Linked DNA regions of Astyanax mexicanus. The protein of the gene in region 1 purifies or fractionates together with the protein of each later gene. This does not show direct contact. Links are inferred from orthologs where the notes say so. Each region holds a gene or a part of one and is shown on either strand. Other genes may lie near its edges.

Region 1 (8,287 bases):
TTCTATAAAAGAAAAATAACCCAAATTTCACTATGCCGTCGGGTCATTAAGCAGACCTTCACAGTTGTTTACAATATGTCAGCATGAAAAAAGAAAAAAGTGTCAAGTCATGTCTGGCAGCTGCATGATTAGAGAAAACACTCAGTAGCGCTCTCTGCTGATGAGCAAGTGCACTGCAATGCTTATGAAAAAATATATTTTTTATGATTTAATGGTTTGACGGTTTTAATGGTTTCAAAAAAAATATTATTTTTATTTAAGAAATGTATTATTAATTAATCTCAACAAATAATCAGGAACAATTGTTGATAACACATGATTATTTTATTCATCTTTATTTTTTCTAGGTAAGAACAAATGTATTATGTTCAATAATAGAAAACTTACCTGAGTAACTCTAAATGCACACGATACACTTTCATACGATCCAATCAAGGTAATTGCACTCCACAGTTTCACCAAACTGCTATTAAAATGAGAATAAAAAAGAAAGACAATCACAACATTTAGAAACATACTTAATTATACTTATTAATTATACTGTAATTCACAAATTCATTGCCTTAACTGTGTTAGGGGTTTTAAGAGAGAGAGAGACAGAGATACATCTCTAGGACCAGGGTTGCACTAGAAAACAACCAAAAAATGTGGTCCATTTAACTTTGGGATCGGGACCCAGATTCAGAGCTTAATCCTACACTTAATAGGCTTTTCAATGCCTAATCACCACTGATACTACAGTCAAAACCTAGGATTAATCTGTTTATTGGAAACTGACTCAAAGTCATAACAGTCTGTTCAGGTTTGAGAACATGCATTATTTCTACTATATATGGTAAAAAAATTGATGGTACACTTACACTAGCCTTTATGACACATTGCCTTAAACCCATAACCATCCATGTGTCAGTATGAGTCGGTAACTCTTTACAGCTCTAATAGTGAATCTCTGTGTGAACACTGTTCTGCACTATGCTCCCCAGCACTCAGACACCTTTATAATTTTAAGCGTTTTGACTAGTGGTGTCAATTTATTAAAAATTTAACATGATTAATCACAACACTATTCTGTAATTAACTGTGATTAATCACACTTGTTTTCTTAAAATGCAAGTTTTTGTAATGCAATTATATTTATTTTAGTGGTGTCAATTAAATTACTAGAATATACTTTTATGTTTGAGGGGAGATAAAGTCAACGTGGTGCGCTGTAATAAAGAACGAATGACAAATTGGTAAATAAGTGTTTATTAAAAGCAAAACTAAGCTTTTGCATGGATTAAATACCTGTGGTACACACGAAGAATGGCAGACAGCTCAGTCTGGTTGAACGTCAGCACGTCAAAAGGGAACGCAGCTCCAACCTGTAACACATTACAACATATTTCTACACAACCACAATCTACACAACTCCGACACTAACTTAATTATAATGTGGAGGTCTCATAACATAGGTCAGTATTTTATCCCTACCTCCCCATACAGGTCTTTCAGTCCAGTGATGATCAACTGCTTGAACTGTTCTGCACTCAGACTTTTGTTTCTACTGTCAAAAACTCTGTTTATGCATACAAAAAAAATAGGGCTGTCTATTATTCATAGTATATATATATATATTTTTTTTTTCTTTTTTTTTTTAGAAAGGAGTTTACTTACAAGTTGATCTTCATATAATGATACAGAGAGGTGTTTTTGCACACAACACGCTCATAAGGTGTAGGTTTCTTCTCCATAATATCTGAATGCTGTTAGAACAGGAAACAAACATTGAGAGCGAAAAATAATTTTGTGTTAAAACTGAATTCTGAATGGTAAAATATGACGATATGGTAAAAAATGGTTGAAAAAAACAAAACAAAAAAAATATATTTCCTAATACGGAAAGACATTTGTTCACAATACACAATATTCTGAATTTATTTAAATCTGCTGTACTCTAAGTCAATTAAATACAGGACTAATTACTCTCTTTGTAATTTAACAGTTGCAGTTGTTCTGAATTTAAGCAATGGCAGTAGTCAAAACTTATTGTCTTATTGCACACCTATACTACGTATAAATTGTGTATTTGCTTAATCAATAATAAAAATGAAAAATGGCATAAAGACATTTAAGATTATTTTTTTTTTTTGTCCCACAACATGTTAACTCAACACCAGGGTTGTACAATATTAAAAAATAAAATGAAGAATGACACCCAAATTCAAATTAAATTATTCAATTGGAATTGAGATTGCAAACAGGAACCAGCTACTTCAAATTCGAACTGCAGGATGTAGAATTAGAATTACACGAAATTCAAATTAATGTATAATGCAAAATTAAGGTGTATATTAATTTCACACAGATATTATGGTATGAGCACAAAACAATAAAAACCCTCTATAACACAAATTATTAAAACTGTACCAACTTTCAAACTGTGGAAAATGATAGGACAGCACTTAATTTCCCAGAATATTGTTTTTTTCCTTTTTTTAACCATTGTCTTTAACCATTGTCCAAACATTAAGGCTATTTGAGGAACTGTTGACCATAAGATGCAATAGCATTACCCTTTAAATTACTTTAATAAATTGTAACATTGTTGTATGTGACTAATTTAGCAATATCTTAATTTTGAAAGTATTCAACATTAAGAGAATGTATGCTTTCTACAGGCTTACAATGCTAGTTATAAGGGCTTAGTGCTGCCCATGTAAAGAAATAGTTAATTTTACACTCTTAAGAAGCTCAAAGTAGCTCCACACTTCACTGGTAGAATTCTGAGAGCACGGATATTTAAAATGAGGCACTGAGAAATGGATGGGTGGGTAGGTAGATTCATTCATTCATTCATTCATTCATTTAATCATTCACTGAATTAAATTGAATTCTGAAATTCTGATTTTTGCACAGCCCTACTCAGCATATACTCAGAATCTTAACGTATTTTCTGTTATGATTTGTACACTTTTATTAAATGCTTACCATATACAATATTACAAATATTTGAACAGAGCATCAATTAGAGAGACTTTAAGTCCACTGACTCAAACACTGCATTATAAAAAGTAAAGGTGGTAAACCCGGGTCCAGAAAGTAAAAGTTTAAAAGTTTAAAAAGTATGAAACCCAGGGATGGATTTTTACTTTCTGGATCCGGGTTAGCCACCTCTAATAATAAACCATATGTAGACGCAATCAAGTGCATCTAATAACGGACAGGGCCAGTTCTCCAAATTAAACCAACAAACCCAACCCCTATCTATCATCAGTATATACATTCGATAGGTTATTATGACTTGAAACAGATAGCTAGAGTAATTGAGTTATATCTGGCTAGCTAGATAACTAACAGCTAACTATATAACAGGTGTAGGTTAAGTAAGAACATATCTAAGTTAGTTAGCTAGGCTAATGTTGCTATCCAGTAAAACTTACATCCTTTGGAAACTCCACTGAAGAGACTCATTCAAAACTAACCGTAGTGCACTTTTAAATGTACGAATATTACAATACTAAATACAGCTATTTACCGACTAAAGACAGTCTCACGCAGCACGTCCTTATCGCCATGTGACTCCTGTAGCTTCTAATGTTTTCAAGAGCGGATTTCTTCTTCGTGGTTGATTTTTGGCAGCTTGCAATCTTAGTGCATTACCGCCATCTACTGGTCTGATGTTTGATTACATTGGGATTACAAAAATATATACAGTATGCTCTGTACCACCTTGACCTAATAAGTTTTTTCAATTGAGTTCTTTGTTACCGTCTCAAGACGTTCTCTCCGTTAGAGTACTGCCTACATGTAAGCAGTACGTAAATTACGGTTTCAGTTTCATTACAGTATGAACATATTCCGGTGTCATGTTTTCCTTTAATGTGTAAACCACTATTTAGTGCTGTAAGCCCTATTCTTAGGCTGGTTGATCAGGTTTCCTCCTGTCGTGAGTGAATGGATTTTCCTTTTACCTCTTGTTGTATACTATATAAATTCCTGCTGTTCTCCTCCGTATCCCATTTGTTTTGCCAGATTTTATGAACACCGTCTTTTATTACTTTTTTTAATTCTGATTTGCTCAGTAAAACCTTTAACTTCTACTTGCTCTGATTTCAGTGCTTCTTTTGCAAACTCATCTGCTTCCTCATTCCCCTAAATACCCGTGGGTGCTGGAACCCAGGTGAACTGTACAATTTTGTTTTTGTTGACTTATTCTATAAATCATCTGGTGCATTAGTATTTTTTCCCACTGTTTTTATGTACGACGCTGATTAGTTAACTAGCTGACCCGGGCTAGGCTAGCTGTGCTAAGTTATCTTAGCCTGGACTCTGAGGCCTGAAGGCTGGGATCAGCGGGAGCCTCCACATCTCGACTTCACTTCCTCCTCAACTCTTCTTTCTTTCACTTTTCGTTCAGCGCTGCTGTAAACTACGCCAAAAACACCCGCTTCCACCGGTTTCACACACTTTAATGGTCGAACTGAAAGTCAGAGGGGTTCCTCCGAAGGTACGTGCTTTGTTCTGGTGGTTTATTTGCTGATATTCTGCTGTAAATGCTGTTTTTTTTTACAGGGTATTAACTAGATGAGCAGTGCTGAGCTTTCAGGGTCAGTCCGAGGAAGACACAGCAGATTAAACCAGCTAAACCACATCAAAATCAAAGAGTTGTTTTGGCCCAGAAATGACTCAAACAGAAGTAGAAAGCTAGCTATATGTTCAAACAACTGCTAAAGTACTGCAGACGTTACTCTAGTAAAAGGAAAAGACCTCTCTATGCCTACATTAAAGTAAAAGTACACACATGTTATTTTCCTTAAAATGTGCTTACAAAAGCACTAAACACCATGATTTATTATGGCTCCAATATCTTATAAATTCTTTTTTTAGAACTGAACCCTCAATCTGATTAATCAACTCATTTTAGATAGAAAGACTCCAGCCATACACTTGTTTCACAATTTTTAATCTTTTCATAGGATTTTATTTATTAGTCTAATTGCAGTGATTGCTGTTAAAATTATCATAAAATATCACAAAAGCACTATTAGTAAAAGTACCCGGATTTAATGGCTTTAATGTGCTTTTATCGCTTTTGGATCAGAATCAGGTCATTTTATATTAAAAGACTCCAGTAATACCCTTGGTTGACATTATTAATCTTTTTAGAAAGACTCATTAATTAGACTTATTTTATTGTGATGTACTTTTAAAGTGACCATAAAATATCACAAAACATTGGATGCAAGTAAAACTTTTTTTTTTCTCCATAATGTATTGGAGTAAAAATCTAAATATTTGAGTTTGAAATGTTGTGAGTTAAAGTAAAAAGTAAAAATTGCAGATATGAAAAACAGTAAAGTATATATATTTTACTCTGCTACTGTCTACCACTGCAAATTACAATACATTACAATAAAAATAAAATATTACTTTAGATTTTTTTTTATCTCTAAAGCAGTCCAGGTGCTAAAACAATACAACACAATAAAATCAAACATATTAAAAAAGGAAGTATATGTACAGCCAAAGTGGAACTAAGTAAAATACTGGAGTTCTTTCCTCACAGGCATAGCCCATTGACTGTGTGCCCCATTTTTTTTTTTTTTACCTTTTCACACATGAAATATTTATATGTTCATGATATTTTGAAAGTCCAGAATAATGTGAAAAAAGAAATTGTTAAAAAAGCCTGATATATCATTTGAAGTTAAATAAGAAGTTGGAATATTACTTTAAAACATATAACTAATAAATAAAACATCTTTTTTTAACTTAAACTTTTTTTTTTGCATCCAGGTCAAGATATGGCGATGCCCTATGACCAGAGAAACATGAAAAAAGGTACAGGGGAGGAATTCACAGTATCAGGAAATATAAGCTTGTCCTTAGTTTGGTAATACTGTACGTCAGTTAGGTTAAGATGTACTGAAAATACAGACTTGAATTAAAGAAAGCAGAAACCAATGTATTGAATGCCAATGTCATATGATGAGGAGACCAATAGAAATGCTCCAAAATTACTTGTAATATTTTTTAGATAACATATCGTTGATCTAGGCCTGTCACGATAACAACATTTTTAGGGCAATGTATTGTCTCAGAAATGATTGCGATAAACGATAATATTGTCCTTTTAAAGCGCCACTATAGAAAATGCTTTTTCCTGCTTTGGGCTCCTAAAGGTGCTTTAAGACAATGTGCCACAGTAATTATATACTAGCATAATAATACTATTACACTATTTTACAGTGAAACGAACTTTTCATTATTCAGAACAGACATTGGGCTTCCATTATAAAAATATTCAGGGTTTGTATGGGTGCTTGAATTTTAACGTTCTGTTTTCCAGGCCTGGAAAGTGCTGGAACTTTTGAGCAAGTGCTTACAATGCTAGAAATTGTAACTGCATTTACTTTATAAAAAAATAACTATCTGACTAAATAAGTTCGCTTAAAAAAATATAGAGCGTAAAATAAAAAAGGCTTTGCTCACGCAAATTCCGGTTCTTTCTCGTAATCCAAGAGGAGTTTGCTCACGAAGAGCCGGCTCTTTTTGCCCCCAGATGCAACATAGTTTTGCCACTTTTTTAAAAACATAGACAGCAGGAGAGTTAGCTAGCTATGCTAAAAGCTAAGCTTTGGATTTATCTAAATAATAATAGTATTGAGGGGCCCCCCTGTCACGAAGGGATAAAGGGCCCTCACACAACAGCGCAAATCGTACCGGGCCAAACCGAGAAACCGGTGAAAGTAATGTTGAGGTCTTATTGACTGTGGCAATTCAAGCATTTTCATCATTATCTGATGAAGACTTTAGGAGTAGTTTAAATGAGTTCTTGAAAAATGTTTAAACAAATTTCCTGTTGGGCGGATCTAATACAAACAAATTTGTGCAGGGTCTTAGTGTCTACATTTCTACCAAAAATTGGGAAGATTAGAACATTTTTTACACAACCACAGCTGATTTCTTTACCAATCAAATTAGGGGGCGCTGTAGAGTCCGCTAGCTACACAAGCTCGTTTCAGGCACTGAAGCCACAATACAAGCCCCGGAGATCAGCTCGTTCCAGGTACTGAAGCCTCTTTTCCACAAGCCCCGGAGATCGACTTGGTTCAGGCACTGAAGCCGCGATACAAGCCCTGGAGATCGGCTCATTTCAGGCCCTGAATCCGGGCTAACAGCCCCATAGATTGGAGGACGCTGATGCTGTGTTAACAGTGCCAGGATCGGCTTAGCCTAATAATATATATTGTATGTGTAACTCGGATTATTAGTATTATTATTTAGATAAATACAAAGTTTGGGTTTCAGCATAGCTCTCTTAACTCTCCTGCTGTGTTTGTTTCTGAAGGCTGCCGGTAGTAGGCAGACAGTAACAAAGCCTGGAGATATCAGCCAATAGCATTCGCTGAGGGAGGTGATCCTGACTCCGCCCCCAAAACCACCTCTTTCTACACTCGAGGCAAAATCTCCACTCGAGCAAAACAGCATCAAACAAAAAGCTTTATGTTCAGTTTTTACATTTTAAGTAAAAAAATGATTGAAAGTTATTTGTCCAGTGACCTTTTGTGTCACAGTTCCATTATTGATAGAATCAAGTTGGATAGCAAGCAAAGTCTACAGATAGGTGATACCTTTTGAATTATAAAACTTTTGCTTGAATTTCTTTTCCCTTTTGCCATTACCAAACACAAGTCTGAAGTGTGACAAAAAGCAAATCAATAATTTTGAGTATATGTATGTATAAATGCTCTCAACTCAACCCCAAATTTGACATACTACAGTTACTGCTCAATCAAATGAACAGGGTAAACATGTGGTGAAGAACATTAGTATTTAAATTGTGTGAAACTGACACCTGCTATTTACTTAGTTAGAAGTTTTTTTTCTCAGTAGCATAGTCGCTGTGAAGTGTGGAGAATAGTTTTGCGACATATTTATTATCACTGAACTGTAGTTTGAGATATCACTGTTATCATTAATTTACTAGGACTGGCCTGAATAGCTCAGAATATTCAGCACTGATTGGTAGCGAATATTCGTTTTTAAAAACACAGATTAAAAACGGATTAAAGCAAAAAAACTCACAGCCCCCTCTAATCCACCACAAACTTTCCATGGACCCCCGGCCCCAATTTTGTGTGCCAAGCACACCACGGCTTCTCTGCTGCGCCTGCAGGCCAGGAGCGCCGCTGCTTGGCGGCTTCTCCGCCACGTTCGCAGGCCAGAAACGCCACTGCTTCACGGCTTCTACGCTGCGTCCGCAGGCCAGGAGCGCCGCTGCGTATCATTTTTAAAACTCTGG
Region 2 (8,214 bases), on another chromosome or scaffold:
ATGAAGTGTTTAGTATCCGGTATGAAACTGATGTGTAAGGCAGTAAAACTGTATGCCGTTAGAGTTGAAGTGAAGGTGAGCCCAGGTATGAGGTGTTTAGTATTCGGTACAAGTTATTTAGTATACGATATGAGTTGTTGAATATCCAGTATGAAACTGATGTGTAAGGCAATTAGAGTGAAGGTTGGAGAGTTAGTGTGCTGTTAGAGTTAAGGTGAAGGTGAGCTCAGGTATGAAGTGTTCAGTATCTGCTATGAGGTGTTCAGTATCCGGTATGAAACTTATGTGTTAGAGTTAGAGTAGGAGTTGGAGAGTTGTAGTGTGTGCTGTTAAGAGTTGAGTTGAAGGTGAGCTTAGGTACGAGGTGTTCAGTATCCGGTATGAGGTGTTTAGTATCCAGTATGAAACTGATGTGTAAGGTAGTTAGAGTGAAAGTTTGAGAGTTAGAGAGTGTGCTGTTAAAGTTGAGGTGAAGGTAAAGCTCAGGTAAAAGGTGTTAAGTATCCGGTATGAAACTGATGTGAATTAGAGTGAGAGTTGGAGAGTTAGAGTGTGTGCTGTTAGAGGTGAAGGTGAAGGTGAGCTCAGGTATAAGGTGTTCAGAATGCGGTACGAGGTGTTCAGTATCCGGTATTAATCTGATGTGTTAGGCAGTTAGAGTGAGAGTTGGAGAGTCGGAGCATGTGCTTTTAGAGTTGAGATGTAAAGGTAAAGGTAAAGCTCAGGTATGGGTTATAAAGTGTGTGTTACTTACCTATAAAGAAAATGACTCCTCTTGGCGAAAACACTGTACTGGGAAACCCAAAAGTTCAGCAGGGGTCCAAAGACCACCATGGCCGACAGCAGCAGGTGAAAATGCCGCCGGAATAAGGCATTTCCCAGCAGTCCTGCCGCAAGGTCAGTCACAACCACGAGGAAAGTGTTCAGGAACATTTGTGCAAATGTGAACCAACTCCAGCTGATCGGCTCAACTCAACGGATTCCCTCCAGAGTCCCAACTCAATCTGTCCTAATCAGTGTTCTTCCACATCATTCCTCTCTGGGGCCGGTTCTCTATTAACCTTTAGTAGATCTCCATATTCAGCTCAGCTCTTCCAGAGGGTCTGGATTCTTTAGTTCCAACAGCAAGTGTGCTCCTGTAGTGTGCTACTGTATTTATACTGTAGTTTTCCCCTTCATCCAATAAATATTCTGCCATTAACAAGTCATGATTCCCTCGTTTTTGTGGTCTGACTGTAAGCATGTACAGTATCTCCTGGTATTTGCTGAACTGCCCAGTTGCTCCAACTTACAGCCTTGAGACCAACACCCCTCCCACATTTCAACATGACAGAAAAAGATCCATCCCCATGGTGTAGTCCCACCCCCCCCCATGCCCTCACATTTACACTCACACATGTAATCTAATGCAATGATCCTCTGTATGTTATTTTAATTGAGTAGTACTAACACTTAAATAAATATGATTTAAGAATACAGCCTAGTGTTAAATCTTGATGTTTCTAAAGTGTGGACTTTTCTAAAAAATAATAGAGGTGCTTGTAAGTTTTCTGAATCAATATTTCTGCATACTTTTCCTAAAAGTAGACAATGATATATGTAAAAAATGAAATGAAATGAAAAATATAAGACTTTTTTTTAATGAATGATCTATTTGTTATCATTCTTCATCTGTTAATAAAGAACGATCTAATGTTACATATCTGTGGGCATTTTCAGTCACTGATAAAGGCCTTTTGGAACAATGTTTTGTGAAGGGATAAGACCAAAATTTAGTGTTATGTTTGAAGAAAGTAACATCTTTATCCTATCTGTGAAACATGGTGGTGATAGATTCATGGATTGGTCCTTTTTTGCTATATCTGGGCCTGCTGGATGGCTTGCAATCACGATAGAACAATGGTTTCTGAATTATATCAGCACATTCTGAGGGATAATATCTAGACATTTGTCTTTGAGCTAAATCTTGAGAGAACGTGGGTCATGCAGCAAGACAATGACCCTAATCATGCAAGTTGTTTTACCAAAGAATGGTTAATTAAACTATATTGACCTTAATCCAATATAAATTTCCTGGAAGGAGCTGAAGTAGCTGGTCATGTGAGAAAACACACCAATGGGCTACAATTCCTACAACACTTACAAAAAAAAACTTTAGTTGTTTTCAGTTTTTAGATACTGAAAACAATGGTTTATATACTCTCGCCATTCCAAGATGATTTAGGTCAAATTCATGCAGAAATACGGGAAATTTTCCAAACTTTTAAGCACATCATGCTATTGTTGTGTTGTTGGCAGATGCATTATCAATTGGTATTTCATTGGTGAAGAGCAGAATGTGTTTAAAAATATACAGCACCAGCAAACTATGGATGTACCTGTAAATGTGTTCTCTGTTAAAGGGCTAAAGCAGACCTTAAATCCACCATGGACCTCTTGGTCCAAGCATTTGGAACTGCAACATGACCCAAAAAAGCTGTTATTTCAGACGAAATGGAGCCTTACTAAGTGCTAAGCACTAAACTCTGTAAGGTGTCCAAGCTTTTGCATAAGACTGACATTTGGGAAGGGTTAAGCGTGGTGACCAGCACGAAGCGCTGTGTCTCTATCTCTGCTCTTTCTATTTTTAGCTTCAGCTGTTAGGGTCAGCACCTGGGAGTATTTATCGCCGCCTGTCCCGCTATCCGTCTGTGTCTCACAGCTCTCTCACAAATAAAGCCCACCCTTTCAGCCTACAGTAGAGGTCTGCACTCCCGCGGGAGTCCCGCGGGACCCGCGGGACCCGTCAGAATATGTTGCGGCGCGGGACAAAACTGAATTGTTATTGGCGGGAGCGGTAATTTAATCAATACAGGCCATGCGGGAGCGGGACCACATTAACATGTGGTCCCGCTCCCGCAAATTGATAAATAGTTAAGAAAATTATAATAATCACGCTATGATTCCCATGCAAGCAACAAAAAAACACAAGAAAAATCTCTCGGAGGATGGACACACACACACACATTTTCAGCATCTCCAGCAGGCGTGTGCAGAGGAGGGGGGGGGGGGGGGAGGGGGGTGTGTAATTTAAAGGACGACATTTACTATACTGGTGCAAAATAATAATAATAATAATAATAATAATAACAATAATAATAATAACAATAACAAAAACATTGTTATTATTATTATTGTTATTATTATTATTATTATTAATAATAATAATACAAATATTAATTAAACTAATTGAATTTAATTTTTTATATTTTTACATTTATTATTTTATATAATATAGATCCACTTCTAATCCACTTCTAGGATTCTTGATGCACCTGATGGCATGTGTTTGGACTGCGAACTGAATTGCTGTTTTAATAAATACATATGTAAATTTGAAGCACTAAATGTAATTAATTCAATTCATATTAGGACTGCGGGACGGGAGCGGCGGGAATGTGTATGTGGCGGGCGGGAGCGGGATTAAAAGAAGTGATTTTTTTGCGGGAGCGGGCGGGAGCGGGACAAAAAGACGCGGGAGCGGGCGGGAGCGGGTTTAAAAAAACAGTCCCGCGCAGACCTCTAGCCTACAGTCTGTTTAGCCCCGCCCATTCAGCCTACAGCCACTTCAGCCCCACCCAATAGTTTTACCTATTCAGCCTACAGCAGTGTAGCCCATCCAAATATATAATTTTTCTAAACGTTAAAAATAGACCTAATAAATGCAATAAAAAACACATTGCAATCAGCAATCCAATTATGAAGAAATAGAAATATAATATACATTACTATGCACTATACATTAATTAAATATAATTAACTAATAATATATTTAATTAGAAAGTAATATCATTTAATCATTTATTTAAGATTAATGGCAGATATTTGTTTACAACCGTGTCACTTCAGTTAAACACAGATATACAGCTGAACTGATGAATATATCAGCAGTATTGGGATGGTTATAACACATATTGTGTTTTTTCTTCCTTTTTTTGGGTCGATCTTTTTTAAGACTTGAAGAGGAAGTTGGGTAAGGAAATTCCCCTCAAAGACCAATATATATTGTATATTTTTGATGAGCCTTCGTTTGAGCGCAAGGAAAAATGTATAGTAAATTTAATTATAATTTTAGGTAAATTTGATATTCACAAAAATAAATTTGCTTTAAAAATACCATAATTCCAGATTTTTGTCTATTCAGACCTAAAATTTATTTACACTTACTGACTCATTTTATTAAATTAAAAAGTAGGAAATCACAATTTTCTTTTCTCTGTTTTTTTTTGTTTGTTTAGGTTTGTTTGTTTGTGTTTTTGTTTTGAGGTGCTTGCGATGTTGCTTGTATATGATGTGTTTTTCACTTATTATTGAGATGGTTATAAGTATACAGAGTTAGTTGTATACAAGGAGACGCACGTGCTCTCCGGGTCAGTAGGGGGCGGCAGGGGCGCGAGCGGGTCAAAAACACGGTTCAGCCGGCATGGTGAGCAGTGCTGTACTGTCAGTGTGTCTCCCCCCTGCTTTATTATAAATTAGTTTTTAATAATAACACAATTAAATAGAGTAAGATGAGCCCGGAGCTGGAGCAGTGCCCGCGGAGTCTGTTAGTGTGTGAAAAAGGAAACTTCAAAAATGAGAAATCCCGCCATGAATCCCAGGCGCTGAAACACAGCTTTAACTGCAGGGTAAGATACTGTTCCACCTTAAAAACAGCTGCAGCTACAGCGCTTCTCAGCACAGTTTAAGGTGGAGCGGAGAGCCTCGGTTATAAACAGTACATTATTACTACTAAATCAGAAAGAAAGAGAGACTGCAGTGGAAGTGAGGCTGGTGTGTGTGGAGTTATTACAGTCTGTAGTCTGTATATCAGAGTAAAATTTACCAGACAATAAATTAATTAAAATTAATAAACTTGAAATATTGAGTGGCATACATTCTAAATTTACATTTTAACAATGTTTTTATGGGCTTAGAACTTGTATTGTAAAAGTTTAAAAATACCTTTGAAAATATCTCGTATATTTGATATCCGTAAAATATCTCCAAATGTATTTTGGATATAGGTTATAGATTTGGGCTAACTCGTATTCTATTTTTCATCTTCTATCATCTCGTCTTATTTTTTTGTCTATTTACTCCAGTGTTATTTTTTAATGCATCCAAACTTATATTTACTAAGAAAGTTATCTTTAACATTATAGTTTATATTAATGTCCCCAGCTTAGATCCAGTCATCTAAAGTTGGTCCTTCTTGCTGTAACCAGTTTGTTGTCAGTTGTTTTTTTAACTGGATGCTAAAAGAACAGCCAAATACATATTAGTTCAAATTTGTTTCATGTCAGGGTGGACATAGCCTAAATATAGCATCTTAAAATTAAAAAGGGATCTCCCTTCTAAATATGCTTTACAATAACTCAAGTTTATCAAAAGTCAGATAAACTTCATATTAAAATATAAAATGCAGATTTAAATAGCTTTTAAGCTCTATAGGAATTGTGTTGATTCAGCTTGTCAGTTCACTGTTTAAATACATGAGTTCCCTGAATTATTTTAGGCCATTCTCTTGTAGCTGTTAAATGTGAATGTAAACTGTAAAAATAAGGGGTGTTTATATATGTAATGTATATAATGATAAATATAATATATAGTTTTTTTCATGCAGATTTCCTTATTGATACCTGAGTGTGGAAGACTGCCTGTGATGCTGGAGAAAGTACTTAGTAATTTCAGCTCATATTTCCATGTCCAAGACTTTCCAGTTTCTACATTCCTGGAAGAGAAATGGCTGGATGCAGTGAAGAAAGGTAGGAGTGAGGAGGAATTCGAGAGAGTGGAGGAGTTGAGAATAAGCGGCTCAATTCAGTGCTTGTGGTGTGATGGAGTCCTTTATTCACTGTTTGTTTATCCTTCAGGAGGTTTCTATGCACTGTCTTCCAAAACCAGAATTGATGAGGACAATGTTGTTGCTGTTTTGCCCAGCGGTAAGTACCATAAGTGCATACATGCAGTAATGTGCAAAAAGTGTGTGTGTGTCCTCAGTTTTCATCATTTTTGCAATTTTTTAACATCTACTTTGTTTGGTCCAGACCTTCAGACTTTTCAGGTGTTTGGTCTGAGCTAAAATAGTAGTAATAGTGAAAACTGCCACAAACCACAGCCTGTTCCAGAGGATTTAAAAAGGTGTCTTGGTCTGGATACACTGAACCCTGGTTTGGTTCAATTACAGTGTAAAACATTGGTGTAGATAGTTTGACTCTTGGACCAATTACAAGAAGTTAAGGCACACTATTGTCAATTTAACAACAGAAAAAGAAAAAAAAACAGAACCAGTGCTGTGCCATAATCTGAGAAACCTTCACTTGTAACGCCTGTCACATAGCAGTATAGGTGGAGAGCTTTACAGACCCTCCTGTATCAAAGCAACCCTAAACTGTGAAATCTCACTTCACCATACTTGTCAGAATCTCAAGAGCTATGAATGAGTTCAGGCTGCAGCTGAGTTTATCAATGCGCTTCAACTCTGTAAAAAGAACACATTTCTGCAACACAAGCCTTCTAATATTATTAGAAGACACACAATAATCCAAATACTTATGAGGTCTGTTATCTCGTTTTTAACCACCTACCATATTCTTCACACAGTAAGGCACATTGTATTATAAGGCACACTATTTTTGGAACTTTCAGTCTACAATCTGATACACTCACCACTAATTGGCAAAAGAGTAAGCGGTTAACGGCTAATGCTAATGCTGCTCCAGTCTCGGTGGTGGAGAACTAAACTGAAACTCCTGTACTTCAGCAGAGTGGTGTTACTGCTCCTTACAACCTGACTGATAAAATTCATACATAAGGCGCACTGCCATAAAAGTCACATGAATTCAGATCTGGCTGTTCAAACACAGCCTTAAATCAGATATATTACTATACTATCACATGATACAATCAAATTACAGAACACAGTGGAGCCGCAAAAATATGAATCCTCCTGTTATTCAGCAGAAAACCTGATGGTTTCCTTCTTCAACATGTGTTTTGATGTTATTTTGTAGGAGGAACTGGGCTGGAAAATCAGAATTTTTGAGTGGTATTGCATTTCTGTGTGGACAAAGATATTTTTAAAAATCCAGACAAAAAAACACTAGTGGAGGGTGCCCCCTGCTGGCCGAACACAGGTGTTCCAGGCGTTGTGCTGAATTCTGCCTCCTACCAATGGATGTGTGTGTCATGCAGCAGAATGATACCTTTATTTCTGTTTATAATCAAGGTTTAGTCTACAGTTCTAGCACGTACAGGAATCACCAGATTAACCTGCTGCCCATACAGGACCTAGGCAAGACTGGTTCTTCTTCTTCTTCTATTGTTTAATGGGTGACAATATCTATAGTCTCTTAGTCTCTTTCTGATGGTAGATACAGTATCTTCCAAACCATCTAAAAAAAGTGTTCACACTGGAACAAACTGAAAAGTCAGAAGGTCTGCACCGAAAAAGCTAGGTGAAAGCTGCTTAAACGAGCAAATTTAAATGTCATGTTTTTTTTTTTTATAGAACCCTTAAAGGTCTCATTTTATCGTTTTTTTTTTTTCCTCAGTAATTTTAAGATGTGCTGTGGTCTCTTTAAAAAAAGCTGTGGTCTCTAGTATGAATGAATGCCATGTGAGCTGTTTTTTGTGAATAAAAAGTGCTCCAGTGATTCTGTATAATGCTACTTTAGTCCAGTGGAGGAGTGGAGGGAGGAGTTGGCTGAGCCGCAGTAAAATCCTGGGGGGGATTTTTAATTTAACCACTGTAAACAGAACTGTTTTAAACACACACCTACCTATCTCGAATGTACTTGGCTGGTGTTGTTTTATAGACAAATTCTAACCATTTGTTCCTTAGCTCTGAATTACTGGGTAAAGACCATAACTCTGATGTGTTATTTGCACAAATAACACAGGACTGAATGGCCATGCTGTTCCTAACGCTGTTAGCTCATGTCTGACAAGACGGTGGTGCTGTCTGGCCTCAGCTCTGCCTGTGGGCGGTGTGGGACCCTAAATTAGGATATTAGGGATCAATATATGTTATATTACTCATATATTAGTACATTTGGCCTTATATGAACGAGTTCATTGAGTTCAGTTAAAACTCTGTCTGCTCTTCCTCAAGTAAGGCCCAGTCTGCACTGGGTACGGCTGTGAGGGGGAGACAGATAAGAAATATGCTGAGTCATACCAGGTGTCTCAAGA
Region 3 (8,062 bases), on another chromosome or scaffold:
TACGGTAAAATTAAACACGGTTGATTTTACCAGGATGACAGACTACAACTTTCAATCCTAACCACCTTACACTGAACGTTTGAAATAACGTTTGACTCTAGCAAGACTCGTGATTTTATCCGAACACTGGAAATTTGTCTGTGACTGTGAAATCGCTTGAAAATCATTAGGTGTAAGGTCAGCATAACAGTGGACTGAGACTTTGTCTTATTGCACTTTGTACTATTTTTTTTTTCTGTTTTTGTGCTTCGTTCTTATTTCACACTTGTATTTTATTTTAAAGTTCTTTGCATATTTACACATTGTATTAGATTTTATTTACTAACATCTTTGGCATTTTTGCTAAACTACTGAAATGTGTGAATTAATAGCATTATCATTTTCTTTTGCCATATGAGCTACACAGAACACACTAGCACAAAATTTCCAAAACCTCAACTTTGAAATTATTAAGCAATCATAAAGTATTGTACCCGGCTGGTTTAAGCTCAAAGGACAAGACGACTTTAAAATCTACACTAAATCTGGACTGCTCATACAATCATACTATAACACACATCAGACCTGATGCTGAATTATATATAAAATTTATTTTGTAATGCAATAAACTCAAATAATCCTTCTCTTTTGAACAGAAAGTTGAATGGCAACTATGGTAGCTGGGTCTTTTCTTCAGTTCATTTTCCATCATCATCATCATTGTCGTCATCATAGTCATCATTGTCGTCGTCATCATCGTCTTGTCTGAGTTGGTTTAGAGAACAACTCAAAACTGCTTTTCTCACCTGCTGTTTTTCAGCTGCATCAAAGGACAGATAGATATAAAAAAACTTTTAATTTTTCTTTTTTATTAGTACATAGAGTATATATCTGTATTTGTGCTGTAACTCGGATGTTGGAGAAAATTAACGTTAAAAAAAATTACATATTAATTTAATTATAAAATTGGCCTATAAAACTGGAACAACCAGATCCACTGACAGAATAACTGAGCTTTTAAACCATATAAAAATATAGAAACATGTAGGTCACTATGAAACAGTTTGTATATTTTTTTCCTGTATTTAGTTTTTATTGTTTAATTGTTTTTCATTACACTTTATTTTAGTTTAGTTTTTTAACAGTATTTTGATAAAGAAAATAAATAGCAAATGGCAGCTTCATATAGACAAACTGCTGCAACTACATTTAGCAATAGCAAAATAATAATAATAATAATAATTAAAAAAAAGAAAGTTGGGGCACTCATTTCATAGCAATGAATAGAACATTGCAATTTGCAACTTAAATTGTCCGATTGCAGCAAATCTCTTTTTTACTTGTGTACTTTTTAACATAAAAAGTGGTGTCAATTTACCACAGAATGCCCACAACATTATTCTGTTCCTCGTTTAATAAACAAAGACATTACAAACAAGCAGAAGTGCCTAATAACTAAAACTCAGTGGTTTTAGTAGTTACAGGTCATACTGATAGTTATACTTTATTGTGCAACATTTCACTGAAATACTAATCAAGCAAATTGGAGTAGTTTTAAGGTCTATAAATACAGACTGTCGTCCATCTATTTTTGTGCATACTTTATTACCCTCCCTTTCACCCTAATCTTAAATGGTTAGGACCCTGCAGTATTATTTGGGTGGTAAGTCATTCTCAGTACTGGAGTGACACTGACATGGTGGTGGCGTATCTTGTGTCACTGCTAGACTGAGAATTGTCATCCAGCAGTGCCATGTGGGCAGTGGACAGTGTGTGAACACAGTCTTTAAAAACTCTAGCAACACTGCTGCGGCTGACCACAACACACACACAAACACGCTACCACCATGCAACTACAATCACTGCAGTGCTGAGAATGACCAAACACCCAAATAGTAGTCTTATAAATGATTTGTCAAAGCAATCTGAATAATCCTTAATATAATAATTGAAGAGATAACTTTACCTTCTGTTTTGCAATGTGGTAGCATTCGAAATAGCTGCTGTCTGCTGTATCTAATGAGAAATTTCTGGCATGTTCTGATGGTACCTGTGGAATTGGAGAGCAAATAAGAATGGTTTGATTAAAATCAATACAAAAATCTGATTGCAATCAAACCATTAACATATGATACAAAGGGTTCGTTGTCTGATGCCCAGGAATAACCCTATTTGTTTCCATGAGGAACCTTGGTTCTTCAATAGCATCTATTTTTAAGAGTGTACCAGCATTTTCAATCATGACATTTTGTTATGTTTTCTTTATTGCTTTTTGTGTTTAAGCTTTAGTAGTATATTAATTTACAATTATACTTTTAACAAAGTTTTTTTGTTAAAATTAGTCATTTAGATATAATTTAGATCAAATATATTTTAAGATGACATACTAAATCAACAGGTCTGCTATTACTGGTGGGTCTTTTGGCACTTACAATGACAAACAAAAGTAACTGAAGGTATCTATACTGTGAGTTTTGTCAAACTTGTGACGAATAAACAAACCATTTGTATAGTTTGGTGCAAAGTGAAACCAACTGGAAACAGGTGACTACTTACCTCCAACATGAATGCAATTAAAAAAGCACGGCACCCTCTGGCCTTGCTTCCAGATACTTGTAATAAAGGGAAGGGCAGACCAGAGAAGCTGATAGTGGGCCTTCCGGAAACGTAGCATGACCACCCCAGTGTAGGCATTTACGTACCTCACTGAAATGAGACAACAGCAGAATCCATACATGTTGTTAAATATGCTTTTAAATTCTGAACACAAAAAAGGCACCCCTAAATACAGGTCATTTATAACAGTAGCTCAGTATTGCTTAAAGGTGTGCTTTTACACAAAACAATTTCTTATGACACAAAGGTGCAAATGCACAAACACACACCCTACATCCAATGTCCTACCTTACATTGTGTAATTTTTTAAATTGTGGATCATTGTTTGTATGTTTACAACCAACATGTGCAATATGCATAATGAGTAATATTTTATAATCTATTTATTGTTATTACTATTATGAATTTTATTATTTTTATTTTATATATATTGCTTGTATATTCATGCTACTTCCTTTGCTTGGTCCTCTGTGCTGCTGTAACATTGTACATTTCCGTCGCGGGATTAATAAAGGATTTTATCTTAGACACATATGTAAAATTCTGTAACGCTCTCTTAAACTTTTTAACTAGACATGTTAGAGATAGTACACATATTACATATTACAATATTTAACTTATAGTGTCAATATTTTAATATGCGTTAAAATGCACCTAAAGTGCCAGATTTTTTAAAACTTTAAAAGCCATTTAAATACAAACTCGTGCCAAGTACAGGTATTTAATCAAATAATACACTCTTCGTAATGAGCTGAGTAGGTGTTCATAATTATAAAACTTATTAAACGCAATAAAATAGTGAAGAAAGATGAAGAGGAACTGGAGAAGTATGGTGATGCAGTACTGACCTGCAGAACCTATGTTAAACAACGCTAACCCATACTGGCCATGAGCTGTGGTCACTGCTGTTTTTACTGCCTGGAAAATATCCTTCTCCTCCAGCAGCCGCAGCATGCTCCTCTCGGACATGCACACCTCACATAACAGATATCTGCAAACACACACCAGGCAATTTACAGTCATTTTAAAGCCTAAAAACATCCTGAAATAACTAACATGTTTTCATAAAAACGTTTTTTTTACCTCGCCTTAAGTCGCACCATCTTCCTGCTCTCTGTGGAACCACGTGGACCAACGCTTTACCGCTTTCACGTGTGGGCTTTTGCACCAATCACAATTCGATGTTGCACAAAGTAGGCGGTGCTTACGCGGTCCACATTACACCGTTCAGACACGTTTATCGTTTAAGGTTCAACGCTCAGCTTGATTTTTACTCATTTCTAGGTCTCTAAAAGTATAATATTTAGCTAAAGTTCTTGGTTCATATTTTATATAAAATAAAAGTCCTTATTTGACGCTGTTGTTTATTTATATGGGGTGTCATTTTCAGGAGATTCCGAGAGATGGCGCCATAAGAGCAAAAATAAAATAAAATGGAACTTTTTGGACCAGACTAAATAATTATTGAAATGAATTTTAATGTAATTTGTTCGTTAGATGAAAAATGTCCTGTCCAAGAATATGCTACTAAACTGAAAATGTACTGTACTGTGTATAATTATAAATATATACATACATATAAAACGGTTTGGTATAAAACACAGGAACCAGATATATGAACCTCTAAAGGCTTCCTAACACTGGTTTACTATAGTTTTTAGGAAGTTTTTTTGCACAGGTTCATTTGTGGTACTGAACCTACAGTAAAAAAATAATAATATGTGATTAATATGTACTACTTATTTTATTAATTCGAAATTATTTAAATGTCTTGTTAATGTGTTATTAATTTCCCCATGTATTTGTAATTAGTGCACATTTTGACTGAAATGTACACCCATAATGAGCAAACATTAGCACAGAATCTAAAAATGCATATTGGCTGTGTCTTGTACAGATCCTGCAGAAACCTCAGATTCATTTTTATGTGGTCGGATCTTGATGTGTAAAAAACTGTTTTCTTTTTGCAAATATGATATTATCAGTTTACATTTATGAAGTGTCACAAAATCTAGATTTAATCAATCCAATTTTTAAAACGGTTAGTAATTCTTTGAACCTTCTCATGTTTTGCCAGAGTTTTTCATTAATTTACCCGTGTTTAAGCAAAGGATATATACACTGCCTGACCAAGATAAAGTTGCCACCTGGATTTATCTAAACAAATGATCTGGGGTTGTTGCAGTTGGTCAGGTCTAGGTTCAGCAACAGTATGTGCTGAAAGAATGAGGTCAGCTGACTACCTGAATATACTGTATAACCAGGTTATTCCATCAATGGATTTTTTCTTCCCTGATGGAATGGCCATATTTCAAGATGACAATTCCAGGATTCATCAGGCTGGAATTGTAAAAGGGTGGTTCAGGGAGCATGAGATCATCATTTTCACTCATGGATTGGCCACCACAGAGTCCCGACCTTAACCCCATTGAGAATCTTTGGGATGTGCTGGAGAAGGCTTTGCACAGTGACCAGACTCTACTATCAATGCTGCAAGAAAAAAAAAAATGCAACACTGGATTGAAATAAATCTTGTGACATTGCACAAGCTTATCGAAACAATGCTACAGTGAATGCTTGCTGTAATCAAAACTAAAGGTGGTCCAATGAAATATTAGAGTGTGTGACCTTTTTTGGTGGCGACATTTTTTTTTTTGGCCAGGCATTTTTTCATGGTAGATCCTTTCTGTATATTATTCTGAGATTTTTAGCAGTTTGCAGTTCGCTTTTCTCAGTGTTAGGAGCTACTCAGCCCATCATCTGTTTAGTGGATGCTTTCAGATCTGAAATGAAAGTGGAGCTGGAGCGTCTTTCACAAACTCGAATACTTGAACTGCCATGTTATCTGAGGGGGTTATTTGGTGGTCTTGTAGTTGTTAGTGGTACTTGTACTCAGTGGATTTTCTGACTGGAAAGTAAACACATGATGCATGCTCTCGGAATTAGCATCATACCTAATAGTGTATGGTGGGCGTGTCTTGTAGGCTAAGGTCTTAAGTGGTCCCTCAGAAGACAGTATTGAGGGGGAGGCAAGGTATCGTGCAGTGGGCGTGTCCTGTGGAAGAAACATCAAATGGGCGTGGGTTGTTGGTCCCGCAGGGTGCAGATCGCGCACTGTACACACGCGCACACTCACAAGTGCGCGCACATAGGCGCACTTCTGTCATGGCAGCGTGAGAGTGTGAGCGTGAGAGTCGCCGGACTGCAGACTGCAGCTCACACACGCACAAAATCACTCATCTGGGGGCAGAATGTGGATATACAGGAATATCATGAGGTGCGTGTGCGCGCTCGCGCTCATCGAGCATGCCATCGCTATTAGTAAGGTAAGAAGATGCAGCAGCACATTAACTGCTGTTTTCTCACTGTGTGTGTGTGTGTGTGTTTTGTGATATGCTTCTCTAAAATATGTTAAAATGCAATCCTCAGCATTGCATTTAAATACTGCAACTGTGCACGTGCATCATCAAGTTTATTTAATCCACTGAAATCTTGCTTTTGGGCTTTAATACCATACGTATAAGACCACACCTACTTACCTAATCAGTAAGTACTGATTAATTAGCAGCTTCTAATTTAGTACCTACTAATTATTGAGTAAATACCAATAATTCCATTAAGTATTAATTATGCAGCATTTACTTTTTTAATACTTTCAATAATTCAATAATTTAGTAATAATAAGTAATAATTATACAGTACTTTTATTCAGTACATACAAGTTGATAATTTATTAGTAATTATTCACTAACAATTAGGTAATTATTGAGTAGCAGTTATGCAATAATAATACCTTCTTTTTTGATACCTACTAAGTATCCAATAAGTAGTAATTCTTAGCAATGATGTAACATGTAATAATTATGCAGTACATTTTATTCAGTAGCTGCCAGTTATTCAGTTGTAAGTAATTACTTAGCAAAGAAAAAATAATTTATTTAATAAACACTCATTATATACTAATTGTTGAATAGTAGTTATATAAAATGATGTAAGTTCAGTACCTTCTTATTAAGTACCTATTCATTATTTGTAATGTAGTTGTTTTTCAGTAAGTAAGAATTGTTGAGAAAGTACTCATTAGTCAGTCTCTACTATTTATCAAGTAATAGATACAGAATAAGGAGTAAATATTTAGTACTTTCTTAATTGGCACCTACTACTTATTCAGTAAGTATTTATTTTTCAGTAGCTAAAATTAATTATTTACCAAGAACTAATTAGTCAGTTTTTGCTAATTATTGAGTAACTACTAATTAGTAAGTGAATAGTACCTATTCAGCAACTGCCAGGTATCCCATAAGTATTCATTAATTATTATCTACTAAATATTGAATATTTACTAATAATTAGCTACATGGAAATTGTACATATTTATTATTCAATACCTAGTATTTTTTTAGAATCTGTTATGAAACTTATATGCAGTTTGTTTAAAGCACGTGTCAACAAACAGGCCTTTAGGCTTGAAAGAGTTAATTTGTAAATATGAGAAAATGGCACTCCAACCAGTGTTGTGCTCAACCGGGGCATCAAGTGTAGATTGTGTGTTGTTCGCTCAGAGAGTGAGTTATGGCTGCAATGGTGTGAGTGTGTAAGTGTGTGTTTTATTTTTCTTTTATTTTCTTTTTTGGAAAGAACACTGTGGGAGTGTGTGTGAACTGTGAAGAATTTGAGATTTGGGATTTTGAAACAGTCTCACACGGGACTGGGAAATGTTAAACTGTCTGTCGTTGTTTATCATTACTGAATTCCGAAAGGGTCGATTAGGATTTTCATGCTGTTGATATATAGTGGAGGCACTAAATCAATGCTTTTTTCGTTCTCGTTGACAAAGTACACCTGTTTTAATGAGCCCCCGCTGAGGGGCATAACCCGTCAGACCGTAAGTTTAACAGTCAGTGATTAATTTTTAGACTCATTACTCAGTAACCTGCCTGAAACAAATTTTTAAGCTATAGTACGGACCCTTAGGCTTACATGCTGACATCTCCACACAAATTTAATTCCAGACCTGCTTGGAGTTTTGGAGATGTTCTTACTCTGCTGCCCAGCCGTCACAGTTTGGTTATTATCAATTTTTTTTTAGTCTGCTTTGGTTGGAGTGACTGTCTCTATTGTCAAGGGAAGTTTTCAAATTACATTTAGGAGCACTGCTGTAAGAATTTGATTGCATTCAGCCACAAGAGCGCCAGCATGTTGGATGATCACCACCACACCTCATCTCCCCATCAACTCCCCAACCTTTTCAAGAGGTATTGGATGGAGCTTTATCATTCCATAGAGCACAGTTCTCCTGGTCCACATGTCTGGCTTTATGCATAGTGCCAACAGGTTCATATTTATCTGTTCAAGGGAGAATTGTATTGTGTTTACAATATTTCTTGATAGGGACTAGACAAGCTGTTTGTGTGTGAATTTGCACATATGCACAACTTAGAGTAGCTAAATGCATCTACTAGAAGGG

Evidence for each region. The genes of interacting proteins can lie anywhere in the genome.
Region 2: the proteins of rpp14 (region 1) and rpp40 purify together in Homo sapiens (co-immunoprecipitation; 3 studies listed by BioGRID and IntAct, with this or other methods). This does not show direct contact. The link is inferred for Astyanax mexicanus from reciprocal best matches to the Homo sapiens genes RPP14 and RPP40.
Region 3: the proteins of rpp14 (region 1) and pop5 purify together in Homo sapiens (co-immunoprecipitation; 3 studies listed by BioGRID and IntAct, with this or other methods). This does not show direct contact. The link is inferred for Astyanax mexicanus from reciprocal best matches to the Homo sapiens genes RPP14 and POP5.

The regions. Positions count from the first base shown.
Region 1 is NC_064431.1:12,208,344-12,216,630, reverse strand, and holds the start of rpp14 (ribonuclease P protein subunit p14), read right to left. Parts: upstream 3,622-8,287; 5' UTR 3,518-3,621; exon of another isoform or gene 3,423-3,517; intron 1,746-3,422; 5' UTR 1,734-1,745; coding exon 1,657-1,733; intron 1,559-1,656; coding exon 1,474-1,558; intron 1,365-1,473; coding exon 1,288-1,364; intron 467-1,287; coding exon 388-466; intron 1-387. Other genes in the region: rbck1 (ranBP-type and C3HC4-type zinc finger-containing protein 1), read left to right, coding at 5,787-5,823. UniProt on the Homo sapiens protein: Component of ribonuclease P, a ribonucleoprotein complex that generates mature tRNA molecules by cleaving their 5'-ends.
Region 2 is NC_064411.1:30,817,888-30,826,101, forward strand, and holds the start of rpp40 (ribonuclease P protein subunit p40), read left to right. Parts: upstream 1-4,428; 5' UTR 4,429-4,550; coding exon 4,551-4,667; intron 4,668-5,644; coding exon 5,645-5,786; intron 5,787-5,894; coding exon 5,895-5,963; intron 5,964-8,214. Other genes in the region: fitm1l (fat storage-inducing transmembrane protein 1), read right to left, coding at 755-933. UniProt on the Homo sapiens protein: Component of ribonuclease P, a ribonucleoprotein complex that generates mature tRNA molecules by cleaving their 5'-ends. Also a component of the MRP ribonuclease complex, which cleaves pre-rRNA sequences.
Region 3 is NC_064419.1:30,521,295-30,529,356, forward strand, and holds pop5 (ribonuclease P/MRP protein subunit POP5), read right to left. Parts: upstream 3,787-8,062; 5' UTR 3,699-3,786; coding exon 3,679-3,698; intron 3,587-3,678; coding exon 3,444-3,586; intron 2,686-3,443; coding exon 2,536-2,685; intron 2,030-2,535; coding exon 1,946-2,029; intron 800-1,945; coding exon 678-799; 3' UTR 571-677; downstream 1-570. Other genes in the region: olfml2a (olfactomedin-like protein 2A), read left to right, coding at 5,847-5,921. UniProt on the Homo sapiens protein: Component of ribonuclease P, a protein complex that generates mature tRNA molecules by cleaving their 5'-ends. Also a component of the MRP ribonuclease complex, which cleaves pre-rRNA sequences.